Linked DNA regions of Saccharomyces cerevisiae S288C. The gene in region 2 interacts genetically with the main gene of each other region. Each region holds a gene or a part of one and is shown on either strand. Other genes may lie near its edges. The genes, in order: PKR1, DOA4, MOT2 and VPS27.

What was found.
Region 1: mutations in DOA4 (region 2) and PKR1 together harm fitness more than expected from each alone (negative genetic interaction), as found in Saccharomyces cerevisiae (2 studies listed by BioGRID).
Region 3: mutations in DOA4 (region 2) and MOT2 are lethal when combined (synthetic lethality), as found in Saccharomyces cerevisiae (2 studies listed by BioGRID).
Region 4: of DOA4 (region 2) and VPS27, a mutation in one rescues a mutant of the other (synthetic rescue), as found in Saccharomyces cerevisiae (5 studies listed by BioGRID, with this or other methods).

Annotation. Positions count from the first base shown.
Region 1 is NC_001145.3:511,703-514,497, forward strand, and holds PKR1 (Pkr1p), read left to right. Parts: upstream 1-1,890; coding exon 1,891-2,259; downstream 2,260-2,795. Other genes in the region: EPO1 (Epo1p), read left to right, coding at 2,754-2,795. UniProt on the Saccharomyces cerevisiae protein: Functions together with the other V-type ATPase assembly factors in the endoplasmic reticulum to efficiently assemble the V-type ATPase membrane sector V(0).
Region 2 is NC_001136.10:584,394-589,251, forward strand, and holds DOA4 (ubiquitin-specific protease DOA4), read right to left. Parts: upstream 3,327-4,858; coding exon 546-3,326; downstream 1-545. Other genes in the region: DOS2 (Dos2p), read left to right, coding at 1-252; FMP16 (Fmp16p), read right to left, coding at 3,705-3,986; PAA1 (polyamine acetyltransferase), read right to left, coding at 4,434-4,858. UniProt on the Saccharomyces cerevisiae protein: Ubiquitin thioesterase that acts at the late endosome/prevacuolar compartment to recover ubiquitin from ubiquitinated membrane proteins en route to the vacuole. Also removes ubiquitin from soluble proteins targeted to proteasomes.
Region 3 is NC_001137.3:291,111-295,365, forward strand, and holds MOT2 (CCR4-NOT core ubiquitin-protein ligase subunit MOT2), read left to right. Parts: upstream 1-1,939; coding exon 1,940-3,703; downstream 3,704-4,255. Other genes in the region: RGI1 (Rgi1p), read left to right, coding at 956-1,441. UniProt on the Saccharomyces cerevisiae protein: E3 ubiquitin-protein ligase component of the CCR4-NOT core complex, which in the nucleus seems to be a general transcription factor, and in the cytoplasm the major mRNA deadenylase involved in mRNA turnover.
Region 4 is NC_001146.8:634,924-639,354, reverse strand, and holds VPS27 (ESCRT-0 subunit protein VPS27), read right to left. Parts: upstream 2,370-4,431; coding exon 501-2,369; downstream 1-500. Other genes in the region: ATG3 (Atg3p), read left to right, coding at 1-173; SWM2 (Swm2p), read right to left, coding at 2,972-3,412; RPC34 (DNA-directed RNA polymerase III subunit C34), read left to right, coding at 4,058-4,431. UniProt on the Saccharomyces cerevisiae protein: Component of the ESCRT-0 complex which is the sorting receptor for ubiquitinated cargo proteins at the multivesicular body (MVB) and recruits ESCRT-I to the MVB outer membrane.

The DNA.
Region 1 (2,795 bases), on a different chromosome or scaffold from region 2:
GTGGGCGAACTTGTGGGAGTTATATATATTTAGGCCAATTGGGCCATTGCATGTTTCCTATAATATATTTTAATATAAAAATTTATTTATTAATACAGCAACTCATTAGATTAATCGAGTGGTGGTAAGGCTTTTTTTGCTCGCAATGCGAGCACGTGACAGAAAGTGAGAATGAACGTCTGACATTGCTAGTGTCACGTTCAGAAAACGAGAAGACGGGTAAAACAAAAATATTGATGATTGTTGGTTAGCAATATCAAATTCATTGAAGGAGGTCACAACCGCGAGAGAAAGTAAGATGTCATGTTTTTGAATATGAACCTGGAGCTCGCATATAACTCTTTCCAGTGGCACCTTTAGATTTATTTTAACTCTGAAATGTAGGTTTTTTTTTTTTTAGACAAGTCACGATAAGTAGTTGTTGTTAGCGACTTTATTCACAGCATTTTTTTATGTAGCATTTGTAGAAATAGGGGAATTATATCGGAGTACTCAAGAAACTAACGGGCTTCTGAGTAAAGGGGCTTCCCGATGTAATGGCATCCAAGGTACTTATCTAACTGATTTTTGATTGGAAGAAACATTTAGAATGCAACCTCAATTGTGGGCAATTACGACCAATGACAGCCAAATCCAGTAAGGTTTCAAAGGGATAATTTACTGAGAAAACAGATTTACTATTCTGGAGGCAGGAGTGATATATTCTTATTCTTCCTATCCATGGGAATAACGATGCACTTTTTTATGGGTAAGGTGTGCTCCCAGTTTTTCTTACCAAGAAGTGTGCAATTGGTACGGTAATATCGTATTTGTTTGCACTGATGTACCCACGCTTTAGCCATTTAAGTTATTACGAATCTACTCTGTCTATTTTTTTTTTACCAACTCCCTACCCAGAGGGAAAATGCGTATGCAATCTAAAATACTTTATTTCCCATTCCGTGCCTTAGGCAAACACAAATGGATTTTGGCTGCATACCGAGGGGTCTAGGTGGTGATGAGGTCGCTACAACCCAGGATGGTTATCTCGTTTCTTCGAATTTCCGCAGCAAAGAGGACCCTTATTGCAGGGATGGAACCTTTTCTGCACAAAGCAAAATCCTCAGGATGTTTCTCTCCTCTGTCTTTCTTTGCCGAGCTCCATCGTGCTAGCGCATCGGACAGGAAGCAGTGAAATACAAGAAAAGTATACAAGCAGTATTCCTGCTCAAGAACCCAGTTTTCAGTTATAGTTTCCACTCCTTTCAATAGATGGGAAACTATATATCCATTAACTAAAATGGCCAGTCAGACTATCTCTTCTCCTCACTAGTGCCTAATCTCTGGTGTCGCCACTCCTGCTGCTGCTAATTATAAGGGCAAAGTCAGACCATCACTTACATTGAGGTGAATATTAAAACCAGTGAAGGTTCTGTTTTTCTCGGGAGTATTTCCGGCAGTAACACCGTTACTTATACCAAAGAGAATTTTTCTGTTGGTATGATTACTGACCCTGTCTGCTCGAAGCACGGTATCATCATTTACCGTTGTTTCTTTCGTCCTAGATATCGGTGTCTCAGAAACTCCAATTGAAGATGTACAGGTGATTAATTACGTCTTTTTATCAATCTATTTACCTATATATTTCAATTTTGATTTTTATTTGGCGAGTGACATGTGAAAACTTTGCCTATGAACCTGAATAGCGCATTCATATTTTAAGAACATGGTAGGGTATAGCAGATGTTCTTTAATTTTCTTTGACTGCGTTTACCCGGCGTTTTTTGCTTGACTGAAAATCAAATGAAGAAAAATAGAGATGGTCTTTTCTTTTTGTCATATCCAAGAACACGTCCATCTAATTGATTAGTGCCAAAAATCGCAGGGATATAACTTCGAAAATTTCTCAAAATGGCCAATTTTTTTGTTAGACTGTGGGAAAGTGTATTTGAACCAGGGACCTCCCCCCAGCTGATCATCGCCACACACGTATCTTTTGTTGCACTACTACTGACCCTCATCTGGCTCATCTATGCCACAAACGGGAATATCCACTTCTATGCTCTTTTCTGTATATCACTTTTACTATGGATTACCGTTATCTGGTTTATAAACGAATTATCACACGTCAAATTGAAGGATAATGATGAGCTGGATAAAGATGCCAATAAAAAGGACGACAGTGCCATCAAGGAAGACAGCGAAGACAAGCAAGAAAGCGGGAAATCCACTAGTACTGCCAGACGGACTCAAGCACAATCTAGGTCAAGAAAAGCATAGACAGATACATAATTGACTACATAATTATCTCTGTTATTAGTATATCACAGAGCTTCCGGGTAAATGTCCGCAATTGTAAATTTTTTTGTCCGCTTCAGGGTCTCCCCTGATATTTTTTTTTTTTCAAAAATTCCTTTTTTTTAAATCAAATTTTGGGCTCAATTATGGACAAATGAAGCACATGCAAAGAGTTAACGCGTGCGACTGAATAGAACAACTCTTTCAGCATCGCAAACCCTTCAAATTGTGAATAAATAGGCATTTCAAGTAACTGTGTCAGCAGCACATTGCATAGGAATTCTGATTTTTTGTTTTAGTGACTGCCCTCCTAATTTTTTTTTTTTTAGTTTACGGCTATAGCTAAATTTGGAGCTTTCTTTCATTAATTTTCACCGAGCTATTAATAACCCTACAAAAAGAGCAGAGAGGTACAGCCTGATCCGATAAAGCAGTGGGATAAAAAGTACTCAAAGACTATTTATAAAAAGTTCAAAATGGATGCAGGTTTATCGACCATGGCAACAAGAAACGGTCAG
Region 2 (4,858 bases):
CTAGATAAAGAAAGTAAAAGGAAAGAAATATTGTCCAAAAAGGAAAAGGAAACGGAGGAAAAAGAAGTTGAGTGGGATGACGAAGAAGAAGAAGAAGATGATGACAAAGTAGAAGCAGTAGCTGACAACAAATCTAAAGGGGAGACGAAAGTTGCTGTGTCTCAAGAGGGATTGAAAGATGTTAGTGACCATGTTGGCCTCGCCAACAAGGATGAGAGCAAGGACGACGACGACGATGATGACTGGGAATGAGTGATTTTTTTCATATAAAAGATATATGTAATGCTATAAATATTTACATACTTTTCATGACGTATTATGGTAGAAAGGAAAATCATCAATCCAAGAGATGCACAGGAGGAAGACAAAATCTGGGCGTGATCTCATCTTTACACCTTCTAAAAAAAAGTTCGTTTGTTACCGTTAAAATAAATCATTTGTATTTAGGGTTTTTTACTTTGACCTTAGATGGAAATAATGATATGCCATGTTGAACGGGAAAAAAAGTGTATAGACAACGGTTTTCAGTTATTTATTCAAATGAATCAAACACCGTAGACGCGGTGATAAAACAAAACGTATGCATTAGAGTTAATTGCATCGGCTTTGTTTTTGACAGGTTTATATTTGGTATCATCAAAATATAGCCATCCCTTCTTTAATCCCTTTTTCACATAGGCTGTATAATGACCACCATACAAAGTACCAAAGTGGCATGCTACACCATATAATTCATACTTAAAAGGTGGTATTTGTCCCCTTATTGGTAGTTCATCGTCATTAACACCTGGAGGAAAAACCCCGTCAAAATCATTGGCCCAAAATGGAGTCAAGTCCAACAAAAAAGGGTATATGACGAAGTCATTATTTTTGTTTAATAAATTATCAAATCTCTTTAAATGGACTATCAGATTCCTCGGTAATCTCGTTATTGTCAATTGTTTCGTGGAGGGCTGCCTTTTTTCACAATGTGGGCACAACCATTGCTCATCCACTTCCAAGTTCTCACATTTGGTGAACTCTCTGAAACAATCTTCAATGGTAATATTATTTCGGGAATTTTTTTTAGGAATAGGGATTGACAGCACCGTAAAAGGTTGGTATGTTGTCGAGGTATGACTACAGACTTTACATTTTAGTCGTGAGGCGTATTGTCCCTGAAATAAGTCGACAATAACACTGAAATCAGTAGTCAAGAATCGTTCCCACTCAATTGACGAGGCAATTCGCAAAGACAGTTTTTCTCTTCTCGCCTCAGCTTCTTGAGAAAGCTCCTTCAAAGGTGGGTTTGAACCGCATTGGTTCAAGTCTTCATGAAGACCATCTAGAAGGAATTGGCAAAACTCTTGGCAGTCCTGTTGGGATGCAGTCTTAAATAATGAGTTAACAGATCCACATGCCAATTTAAATTTTATCGGTGATATGGAAATTTTCTTTGAACCATCAACCTGTTCCTTATACATCATATGAACCAACCTTGCAAAATATTTTGCCAGAATACCTTTCGATCCCAACTTACTATTAATATTGATGTGTTTAGCATATGAATCGTCCAAAAAGATTTGGGTTAATTCGTGTGTACCTAAGATACACTGAATGATACAGTTCATGTAACACGAATTTCCTAGATTTTCCAAACCAACCGCGAAATCAAGGTCATAATTATGAGAAGAAGTTGGTGTAACATCTGTATGATCTAAAGAGTCATTATTAGACAAGGATAGACACGAAGGTTGAATGGTAGAGGTGGCAGAACTGTGTCCATTGGAGTTCATATTAAGGTTCATACTAATTGTTTGCGGGAAGCGTTGTAACTTCGGTGTGGCAGTTCTTGATGGAGAAGTGATGGCCTTCGTGTTGATAGGAGCTATGTGAGCAAAAGAGTTGTGATTCAACTGTTCTCTTTGATTTGTCATAAAATCTGTCTCACTGTTTTTCCAAAGATGTGGCGTTTCCGGATAATTGATTGGCAATGAATTGCCCTTAACTGGGTCAGGCGAATGTAGAGGTAAAGGCGATGGTGAACTAGATATGGACAACGAAGATATAGAATATAAGTTTGAATTTGAATTCTTCGGATTAGGAGACGTATAATTTGAGAATAATTTTTTGAAACTTGAAGATCTTTTTAGCACATGATCATTGTCTGATTGCTGTTGTTGCTGTTGTTGAAGATGATTTAATGGAGTAGGCGCAACTAGCATTTCTTTCATAGAGTCGTCCATTGAATGTCTTATACTGGGAGACATCTTAGGTAAATGTTGTAAACTTAGGCCAGAAGTGTTACCATTAATATAAACACTATCATCTTTAATATTGTTATTTGATGGAAAAGATGATGATACTTGCCTCCCATAATTTGACTTAAGCCAACCTGGAAAACCAGATTCCAGAATGAAAATTTTGGTAAAGTCATCGGATATTGGTTTTTCAAAGGAATGATTCACCAGAATGTCCAACAGGACAGACTGCTGTTTAACATTGTATTCGTTTGCGTCTGTATAGAGAATGATAAACTTGAAAAGATTTCTACTTTGAAACATTTTAATCTCACTATTAGGAGAAGTAATTAATGATTTTTTCTCCAAATCATGATCTGAATATGACATTTTAAAAGAAATAGGCTCCAGGCATATAATATTTTTTGTATCAATATGTGACTTGTTGAATTCCAACCTTGATCGTATATCTATCAGTAGTATCTCCATTTGGGAGGAAGCAGAATTTGCTGATGAACTTATTAGGGAGTTTAATTGATTGGAAGTGATATAGGAACCCGTTCTCATCAGGTTACATTCTTCTTGCTCATGGTTCAATTTTGTTTGTTTTATGGAAGACTTAATGAAACTTTTTATTTTTGCAATGTTTTCATCTTTTAATAAGGTTTCCAGCAAAGTGTTGTAAATGTTCATGAGTTGAAATTCATTATTGTTGTTATTACCGTTGCCCTCATCACTCGTGCTCTTATGTAATTTAATCTTGGCGAATTCACTTAAATGAGGAATATTGGTTGTTACAATAATGTGAATTACCTTGTAGTAAACATAATTTAATTGAATAATCATTACGGAATTTGAACTAATCATTGCACCCTTATTTTTGCACGATATAATATTTTTGATATCTTTCGAGTTCTTCTTGTAAATAGATAAAATATCGATGCATTTATCTAGAAGACTGCTCAAATCTTGATCTTTTGCCTTACCAGTTATGATGAATTCGTTAATTTTAGCCTCTGCAATAGCGGTTAGTTGTGCTATCGTAAGGTACTTCGACCGGTGACGAATACACTCATCCCTTATGGTACTAATAATATTCTGCTCCATAACTTAAGCATGTATCAAATAGTAAAAAAAACTTTGGAAGCGTGCACACTCAGTCTTAAATCTGCCCTATACTACCGAAGATAAATACATGAACTACACGTATCATATAACATCATATCCTTTTTTTTTTTTTTTTTTTTTTTTCTAGGCTTTTACTAATACAAGGGCCTTAGCCATTCGCTAAACGTAATGAACGATATTGAAGCAAATGAAGTAAAACAATGTGGAAAGCAAATAAATAATGGTTATAGTTTTGCACTTATATAGATATCAATAAATGATATGATATGACTAAATACGATAGGACCAGGGGGGAAGGAATATAGATATGTGTATGACAGAAACTACATGCATATACGAGTTTGTACCAAGTGCTTCTTAATAAACACCGTCATCTGGCCTGTTTTGTTCGATTCTAGCGTCATCTCCCTTTTTTTTCAAATCTTCCATTCCAGGTTGCTTATAATCTGGATTCTTGCCGTGTTCCAAAGTGTCCAACCTCTTCTTGTTGCTATCAAACAAACCCTGTTCTTTTTTCTCAGCTTCATCTTGATTGTTCTTTAGGTGAGGAAAGGCGGCCCTAGTGACGATTGAGAAAGACGCCCTTGGCGATTTACGCATCAATTGTCTTGGAGTGCGCAAAAAAGTGGTTCTCAACATTATCAAATATATTCCTGTGTATTATATATGTGATACTGCGGTCTGGCTTCAACTGCTGTTGGAGTATTGTAGGAACAAGTATTCAAGGCCAAAAAAAACTAAGAGCCAACTCAAAGGCCATATCTACCTAATCAAATCTTGGGACCTTTATATACTTATGTGCTTTTACGGTTCCCTTAGATTCTGTACAGGAAGAAGGGGTTGATACAGGAACAAACCCTTTACAGTAAAGGTATCCTTAAAAAAAAAGGAAGGTAGTACGTATATCTCTCCAAGAACTGAAAAGAACCCAATCACCGGAATTAAGCAGTGATATCTCAGTACGGTCAAGGATGTAGGGTAGCACCAGTAGTAATGATTTTAATTATACTTGGCAATTTTAAAATATACAAAAATTATATGTAGTATTTATAATTAGACATTTGTAAAGTGCGTTAAACTAATGATCTAGTTGTCGTATTCTTCCTTAATTAGTTCTCTCTCCATATCGATCCATTTCTGTTCTGCGAAGTTTTTGTCCTTAGCAACATTGGTGTTCTCAGCAATGATCTTGAAACCAACTCTTTCATAAAATGGTATCAATGGCTCGTGAGCAATAAGGACAATTTTGTTACCAATTTCCTGATTACTCAATTTCTGAATGTAGTCAGTTAAAAGTAAAGTAGCCAGGTTTTTTTTCTGGTATTCTGGCTTGATTACTACAGAGTGAATACCAATATGATTACTCGATTCCACTTGTAATTTGCCCATGCTTTCGATAGTAATGTATTCATGAGGTATCTTAGTACCCATAATATGACCAATTAGTGTCTCCTTTTTAACTTCTTTGCCCTCGATCTCTCTGATGAAAAGACCTGAACATAGCTCTGGAC
Region 3 (4,255 bases), on a different chromosome or scaffold from region 2:
AATGTATACAATGGCCGCTTATTTGCGACTCGTCTCATATTTTTCCTGAAACTGTAGCTGTGTGTAATATTATTCATTAACTTCGATAATTCGGCTACAGAAGACAAGAGCTACATCCTTACTGGTGCGAATAAATGACATAATCTGTCAAGAGTACCGAAGTAAAAGCAACGATTGCCGAACACATCTTCCTGAAGTATCATATGCCAATACAAGGTTTCAATAGGAATTATGAAAGCGGCATTATCACCCTTAATCTGAAATATGTAATGATGACGGTGCAGTATGTTGACTACATTGTAAAGTTGCACTTTCACTCAACTCATGAAATTGATGACATTAATCCTACGTGACTTACACATATGCCATGAACGAAGAAGGTGGCACCAAAAATCCAGCGTTTCCGATATACACGCAGTCAAATGTTCAGACTAAACTTTGGTATTCTGACAACGTGTTGTCATACCTGTTACGAGCCAGAAACGTATTTCTTTTTGGGTGATACAATCTCCAGATGACTGCTTTTTTTTTTTTTACCCCAGATTCAGGGGCCGAAGGAACGGAAATGCGGTGTGGCGAGATTGCGGATGTGCTAAAAAATAATATCCTCGAGGCAACCAGCATAATGTGGACGGCTCTCGGCAATTGACTTCCATAACAAATGCATCCTGTAATCAGGGGTATTATAAGTTACTGTATGGTTAATTAAATATAGAATGAAAGGGGCAGCGTTCTTAAGGGGTATTGCTGGGTGGAAAAATACAAGTGTCTTTACTTGATTGTGTGCACATATATAAGGCAAAAGATTTCTAGCGTATATTTGAATCTTTTGTTCTTCCACGTTCAAATTTCTTTGGTCAAAACATTTCATAAAGGGACAAGTTCTGCATTGTATTCTAATAATTGCCCATAGAACATATAAATTAGGTATCGACTGTTTTCGTCTCCACTTTAAATGACAAAGAAGGATAAGAAGGAAGTAAAAGTTCAAACGGTTACCACGGAGGATGGTGAAACCGTGAAAGTTTTTGAAGACCTGCAGGGTTTTGAAACTTTCATTGCCAATGAAACTGAAGATGATGATTTCGATCATTTGCACTGTAAATTAAATTACTACCCACCATTTGTGCTACACGAGTCGCACGAGGACCCTGAAAAAATTAGTGATGCTGCAAATTCTCATTCTAAGAAGTTCGTGCGTCACCTGCACCAGCATATTGAAAAGCATCTTTTGAAAGATATTAAGCAAGCCGTTAGGAAACCTGAGCTTAAATTTCACGAAAAATCGAAGGAAGAGACATTTGATAAAATCACCTGGCATTACGGTGAGGAAACTGAATACCATGGTAGACCTTTCAAGATAGACGTTCAAGTAGTTTGCACACATGAAGATGCTATGGTATTTGTCGATTACAAAACACATCCTGTAGGCGCAAATTAAAGGTTGTGTCATAGAGAATGTGTTAGTACTGAATCCTAACCTCCCAAATTCATAAGTAGTTTTATGTACCTTTAATGATTTACGATTAGCAACTTTTTGAATTTTTTTTATTGAAATGTTGAGCCCGAAGACGTGAAACGCTATAAAGTAGTATCACTGTTACGCCGCGAAACCTGATAATGTATTGTTAAACTACTACCTGGTCGATGATTATATCGACGCTTCTAAAATGAATGCTATTACCCGAACTTCCACTTGATTGCCGTCTCTTCCCGGGTAACATTGTAAGTGTGAATATGATTTTTTTTTTTGCTTTCTCTTTTCAAAATTTCCGAAAAGCATATCAAGACGTGTACTACATACAGTAAAAGCCCTCCTAGGGTTTTCAGTAGTGGTTCGAATAGTATAGATTACTGCTTTTGTTACTCTGCAACAATCCCAAAACTTAATAAAAAGTACAAAAGACCAAATAAAAGTATCGTATATAATCCAGTCATAATGATGAATCCACACGTTCAAGAAAATTTGCAAGCAATCCACAACGCCTTAAGCAATTTTGATACGTCATTTTTATCGGAGGATGAAGAAGATTATTGCCCTCTTTGTATTGAACCAATGGATATTACTGATAAAAATTTTTTTCCTTGTCCCTGTGGTTATCAAATTTGTCAATTTTGCTACAATAATATCAGACAAAATCCAGAATTAAATGGCCGTTGCCCAGCATGTCGTCGTAAATATGATGACGAGAACGTCAGATACGTCACATTATCTCCGGAGGAGTTAAAAATGGAGAGAGCCAAGCTCGCTAGGAAGGAGAAAGAAAGAAAGCATAGAGAAAAAGAACGTAAAGAGAATGAATATACGAATAGGAAACATTTATCTGGTACCAGAGTTATCCAAAAGAATTTAGTGTACGTTGTTGGCATCAATCCTCCTGTTCCATACGAGGAAGTTGCGCCCACTCTGAAATCTGAAAAATATTTTGGCCAATATGGTAAGATAAATAAGATTGTGGTTAATAGAAAAACACCCCATTCTAACAACACAACCAGCGAGCATTATCACCATCATTCACCAGGATATGGCGTTTACATAACCTTCGGATCCAAGGACGATGCTGCAAGATGTATAGCTCAGGTAGACGGGACGTATATGGATGGCCGCCTGATCAAAGCTGCCTACGGTACTACTAAATACTGTTCTTCTTATTTAAGAGGATTGCCATGCCCAAATCCCAACTGTATGTTTTTGCATGAACCTGGTGAAGAAGCTGATTCTTTTAATAAAAGAGAACTCCACAATAAACAACAAGCGCAACAGCAAAGTGGCGGAACTGCATTCACTAGATCTGGAATACACAACAATATATCTACCAGTACCGCTGGTTCAAATACCAATTTACTAAGTGAAAATTTCACAGGCACACCTTCACCGGCGGCGATGAGGGCTCAGTTACATCATGACAGCCATACAAACGCTGGAACACCGGTATTAACACCTGCTCCGGTCCCTGCAGGGTCAAATCCTTGGGGAGTTACTCAATCAGCAACACCTGTAACCTCTATCAATCTCTCTAAAAACAGCAGCTCCATAAACTTGCCAACATTAAATGATTCTCTGGGCCATCATACTACCCCCACAACAGAGAATACCATCACAAGTACGACAACTACTACCAATACCAATGCTACAAGTCACTCCCATGGTAGCAAGAAGAAGCAATCTCTTGCTGCAGAGGAATACAAAGATCCTTATGACGCACTAGGGAATGCTGTTGACTTTTTGGATGCAAGACTACATTCTCTATCAAATTATCAGAAGCGCCCTATATCTATCAAATCCAATATTATTGACGAAGAAACTTATAAAAAGTATCCGTCTTTGTTTTCTTGGGACAAGATTGAGGCCTCAAAGAAAAGTGACAATACATTAGCCAACAAACTTGTGGAGATCCTGGCTATAAAGCCAATAGACTACACTGCTTCTGTCGTTCAATTCTTGCAGAGTGTCAATGTTGGTGTAAATGACAATATTACAATCACAGATAATACGAAAACTCCCACCCAACCAATAAGACTGCAAACCGTCTCACAGCAAATCCAACCACCATTAAACGTCAGTACCCCTCCACCGGGTATCTTTGGTCCACAACATAAGGTTCCTATTCAGCAGCAACAAATGGGTGATACAAGCTCAAGAAATTCCTCTGATTTACTAAATCAACTAATCAACGGAAGGAAAATTATCGCCGGTAATTAATCCGACTCTAAATATTTTTCTTGTTTGCATTAACCATAATTTTATCTATTTTTATTTCTCATGAATATATAATCTCTCCGTTTATAACGAAATGCAAGAAAAAAAAATCTCACCCATTTTTTTAAACCTTTGACGTGGAAAGGTATCTGGGAAAGGTATCTGGCTAATGAATAATGCCATAGCATATACCAGTATAGTCTATTTACTCGTTACAACGTATGAAAGCGTCAGCGCTGCAAGAATGACTAATTCATAGAAAATAATCATCATGATATATATCATAATGCACGGAACCTGCTTCGCTAATTTTTTCACTTAAATCACATTTTTTCAACGAAATCTCTTGCGCAGTTGGTTGGAATTCTTATCCGAATGACTCAGTCTACATCAAAAAACTGTGGCCGAATGGTGGTAATTGATGACTCTTCTATTTTTTTTTTTCATATAAAGAGCTTGCGCGCGTGTTGTTGTTCGCTATCCATTTCCATTAGGAACATTTTTGGATATTATTTTTCAGACCCGTAATATACTTAACACATATACCACTAAAGG
Region 4 (4,431 bases), on a different chromosome or scaffold from region 2:
GAAGGAAAGAGCTGCAGGAAGAACAAGAGCTGGACGGTGTCGGAGACTGGGAGGATTTACAAGACGATATTGATGATTCGTTACGGGTAGACCAATACTTGATTGTTTTCTTAAAGTTTATTACTAGTGTTACACCGAGTATACAACATGACTATACCATGGAAGGTTGGTAAAAATTTGTGTTTTTTCACTATTAGCTGCAAGCCAGGTGGTCAAAAAACAGGATAAACAAGAAGATAGGAATTAACTATAAATATGCAGGAACAAGTTTCTTCCTTAAAACCACTTTCTTAAAATGGTCCTTCCTTTGTCTATATTGATACTTTTTTTTTTGACGGTTTCAATGTTAATACTGACATAAATTATGAATATTCACCTTAAAAACTAGTTTAATGACAGAAATATGTATAAGTTGCGTAACAAGCAATTATATATATATGTATGTATATATTTATAAGCGCTAGGTTTCTTTTTACAAATACATAGAAAAGGCTACAATATTAAAGCTCTATTAGCAGTTCCTCTTGAGGACTAGGCGGCCTTTCCTCTTTGATCGGAATTTCAGAGGAACTTGCAGGAAGTGGTACAGTTGACTCCGGTTGGACGAATTTGCGTGCAGGAACAGTTGGAAAATCGTAACGTGTAATGCCTTGAGGCCGTTTATTTATTGAAGTTTCACCATTCTCTGTTTCTACTGGATACGGCCTTTCGCGGGATTCTTGTGTGGAGGATTCCTCATCTTGCACTGCCTGTGTTCCTTCATCTTCGGCCTCTTCTTTTGGATAAGGTGGGTCCGAAGGTGCAAGTTCAACGTGCGATTGAGGCTTTTGCTGTGCGTGTGGTGTCACATCGATGGTTTTCAAGTGATCAATATTAGTGGTAGGTGATGAATTTGCTTTTACCGATTGTTGGCGTGAGACATCCTGTTGTGGTTTGTATTGATGAGATGATAGTTGCTGGAGGGGAGGTGTTTGATAGCTTTCTGCTGGATTTTGCACATTTTCTGTTAGGTAATTGTACGGATCAGAAGGGACTTGTGGAAGTGTGTATTGCTGAGACAAATTGATGCTTTGTAGCTGTTGCTCCAATAATCTATCGTATATGTTCATAATTTCCGAAATCTTGCCGTTCATTTCTATCAAAGTATTGTATTTCTGAGCTTTATCATTTAAAGCATAATTCAACCTTGCTTTGGAAGCAAATACTCTTTGAGCCAAGTTTTGTAATTTAGAGTCTTCCAAAATTTCGTTCAAGGGCCTCGATTTCATTTTTTCGACAAGTGAAGCAAACATGTATATGCTGTCTTTCTCCTCATCAGATAAATCAACGGAATGGATAGGTTGAGGTTGAGGTGATGGCTGTTGGGGTTGCATCTGTCTAGAGGCTTTTTGACGCTCACTGCGTAGCTTCGCTTCTTCAGCTTCTCTCAAGCTTTCCTGAATAGCAGCTTTTAAATCAGGATCTTCTTCTTCTTCTATTTCTTGTCTCTTCACCTCATTCTTTGATTCTACAACGGGGACAATAGGCTCGCTACTAGCGCTATTTCTAGATTCTTTCAAGGAGAGTTCTATTGCTTTCCTTATCAGCTCTTCTTCATCCTCAGGAGTTGAGTAGTCCCTGTCCTTCTTTCTTTTATGGCGATGTTTTTTAGATTTTTTACTGTCGTCATGTCTCTTCAAATCGTAATCTTCAAAGCAGCTATCACATACTCTGACTGGCTCATATATACCCAAATCAGGTAAGGGTATACTATTTGATGAGTGTTCTTGGCAGAAAACTCCACCACAGGAACGACAGTGATGTTTCCTATTTAGTAGAGAAAACTTTTTGGAGCAAATCATACAAGCATCAGAATCAATCCAATCTGCGGGCGTCTTCGAGTCAAACATTGCAGTCGGAGAATTGGAAAGTGTTAGCTTTTCAGGGAATTTAATGCCACGAGAGATTAATTTATCATAAACTTTTGCCACATAGTTAAGTTGCGAATCATTTTTGAAGGCTACGTATAGTTCATATAATATGGTCTTTACCAGCTCAGAAAGTTCTTCGTTGCTATCTTCTCTTAAAATGACATGTTCCATGGTATCCATGAACTCTCTGGAACAAATTTCCTTAATAAAAGGCGTTCCACCATTTTTTACACATATATTGGTAAGCTTCCAGGAAGACAATTGGGTATTTGGATTATCGGCCGTATTGAGAATCCTTTTCTTTATACAACGCATAGAATCTTTGGGATTTACCCTTCTAGATCTTAACACATCTGAAATTTCCAACGCTATGGGGAGATCAAGGTCACCGTTGGGAATGCTCTCACTAGTGGCTTGTTCTATTAATGCGTCTAACTCACTTGGCGTGCTAACGGACATACTGTTCTTAGTTCTTTACTCACTACTCATTCACCTTAGCAAAAAAAAATCTTGATAATTTTACACCCTCTATTTTTAAATTCCCTCTGCTAATGATGATTATTTCAGGTATCATCGAAATTTTCAGAAAAGGAGGCCGAGCAAGATGATTCTGCTGCTCCGCAAGAAATAGCAGTAGCGTATGTATTACCAAAATCCAAAATCTTGTGAAGGTTACTTTATATAAGTGAGGCTCAAAGGACACCAGGCGTCTATAAATGTATACAAAGTAGCTGTTTTGACATATTACCAAAAAATCGGGAAAATACCTAGGTTGGTTAATGATGAACTCGAAAGAGCCTTAAGAAAAGTTGATTCAACAACATATGGTGTATGGTCGCTCCGAACAGTTTGCTTTTGTCTAGTACATAGTTACTGGTGAACTTTCCTGGATATGCGCGTGCTAACTAGAGCATTTTATGTTGATAATTAATTTAAATTGCATGATACAGATTACGAGACGAAAGATAGTCGATTATATATCTTTCAATCTTGGTTTAGTTTGGCAGCAAAAGCTAAAAGGTAGGCTCCGTGCATATTAGATGAGTGAACACACTTTAGGTTTATTCTTGTATGAAATCATTCACTTCGACCTCTTCCAAGATCAAATTCTCTAATGGATTACTTATGAGTTTACCAAATTCGTCAAATTCCAACCTGACTACATTCAAATTCTTAACATATGAGACATCAATCTCATCCTTAATGATATTATCAGCAGGCGGAGGATCCTTCAACTTTTTATATTCCTTGCCCTTCAAAACATACCACAGGTTAAGGCATCTTCTTATAATTTCCGGATTGACTGTCTTCGCACCTTCTTCGTTCCATTTATGGAAATTAGAACGACAAATTTTTAGAGCTCTAGACTTTAAATGTGCATTTCTTGCTATATTCTGAAAATATGGCTCCAATACTGCGGAGTATTCCTTCGGAATTCGATTCAAGTCCGTTAATCCGTCTAGTAAACCTTCTAAGTTAGAGTAATTGTATAAATCTATCATCCGAGGAGATCCTCTTCTCTTTGCTTATGCATTTAGTCTCCTTTGATTTCTCAAGTTTATAATTTTTTTCTTTTTTTCTCACTTTTTAATACCTTTTAATAGCCGCTATTTTTTTAATTTTAGTTAAGTTTTCTTCTAATTTTGAATATAAAAAGTCATCTTATAACTAGTACATTTTATATGAAGGAGTTTCTATAGGTTTTAAAGGTGTGCAAAAAAAAAAAACAGCGTTAAAAGGCTACGAGTAAAACCAGATTCTTGGAAGACTTTGCTTACATGTGAGCAATTGAGAAGAAAAGGCAGGGGGCATTAAACGTTACGGCTACGGTTCGTCCGCACTACTCACTACATCGCCTACCGTAGCATACCTACGCTCACCCATTGCCATACCCACAGTAAATATGTAAATCGTTTATTAAAATGTTTAAGCCCTTGTTTGGTAGTATATTTAGAATCCAACTAGATGATATTGCAATTATTTAATCTTTTTGTTTTTAAGTAACATCGCGCACAGGCACTTTTTTTTTCCTTCAAATCTTTTATTGTATTAAAAATTTTCAAGTTGATTTGCGATGTATTTGTGAGATGAGATCATTACAGAAAATCTTAATCAAGTGAAGAATTTACAGCGCCAATATCCTGAATATGAGTGGAATGATAGAAAATGGGTTACAGCTATCGGACAATGCTAAAACCTTACATAGCCAGATGATGTCGAAAGGAATAGGCGCATTATTTACACAGCAAGAACTCCAAAAACAAATGGGAATCGGGTCGTTAACAGACTTGATGTCCATTGTACAGGAATTGCTAGACAAGAACTTGATCAAATTAGTAAAACAAAACGACGAATTAAAATTTCAAGGTGTCTTAGAATCTGAGGCGCAAAAGAAAGCCACCATGTCGGCTGAAGAGGCACTGGTATATTCTTATATCGAGGCTAGCGGTAGAGAAGGGATATGGTCCAAGACTATCAAGGCAAGAACCAATCTCCATCAGCATGTAGTTCTTAAATGCTT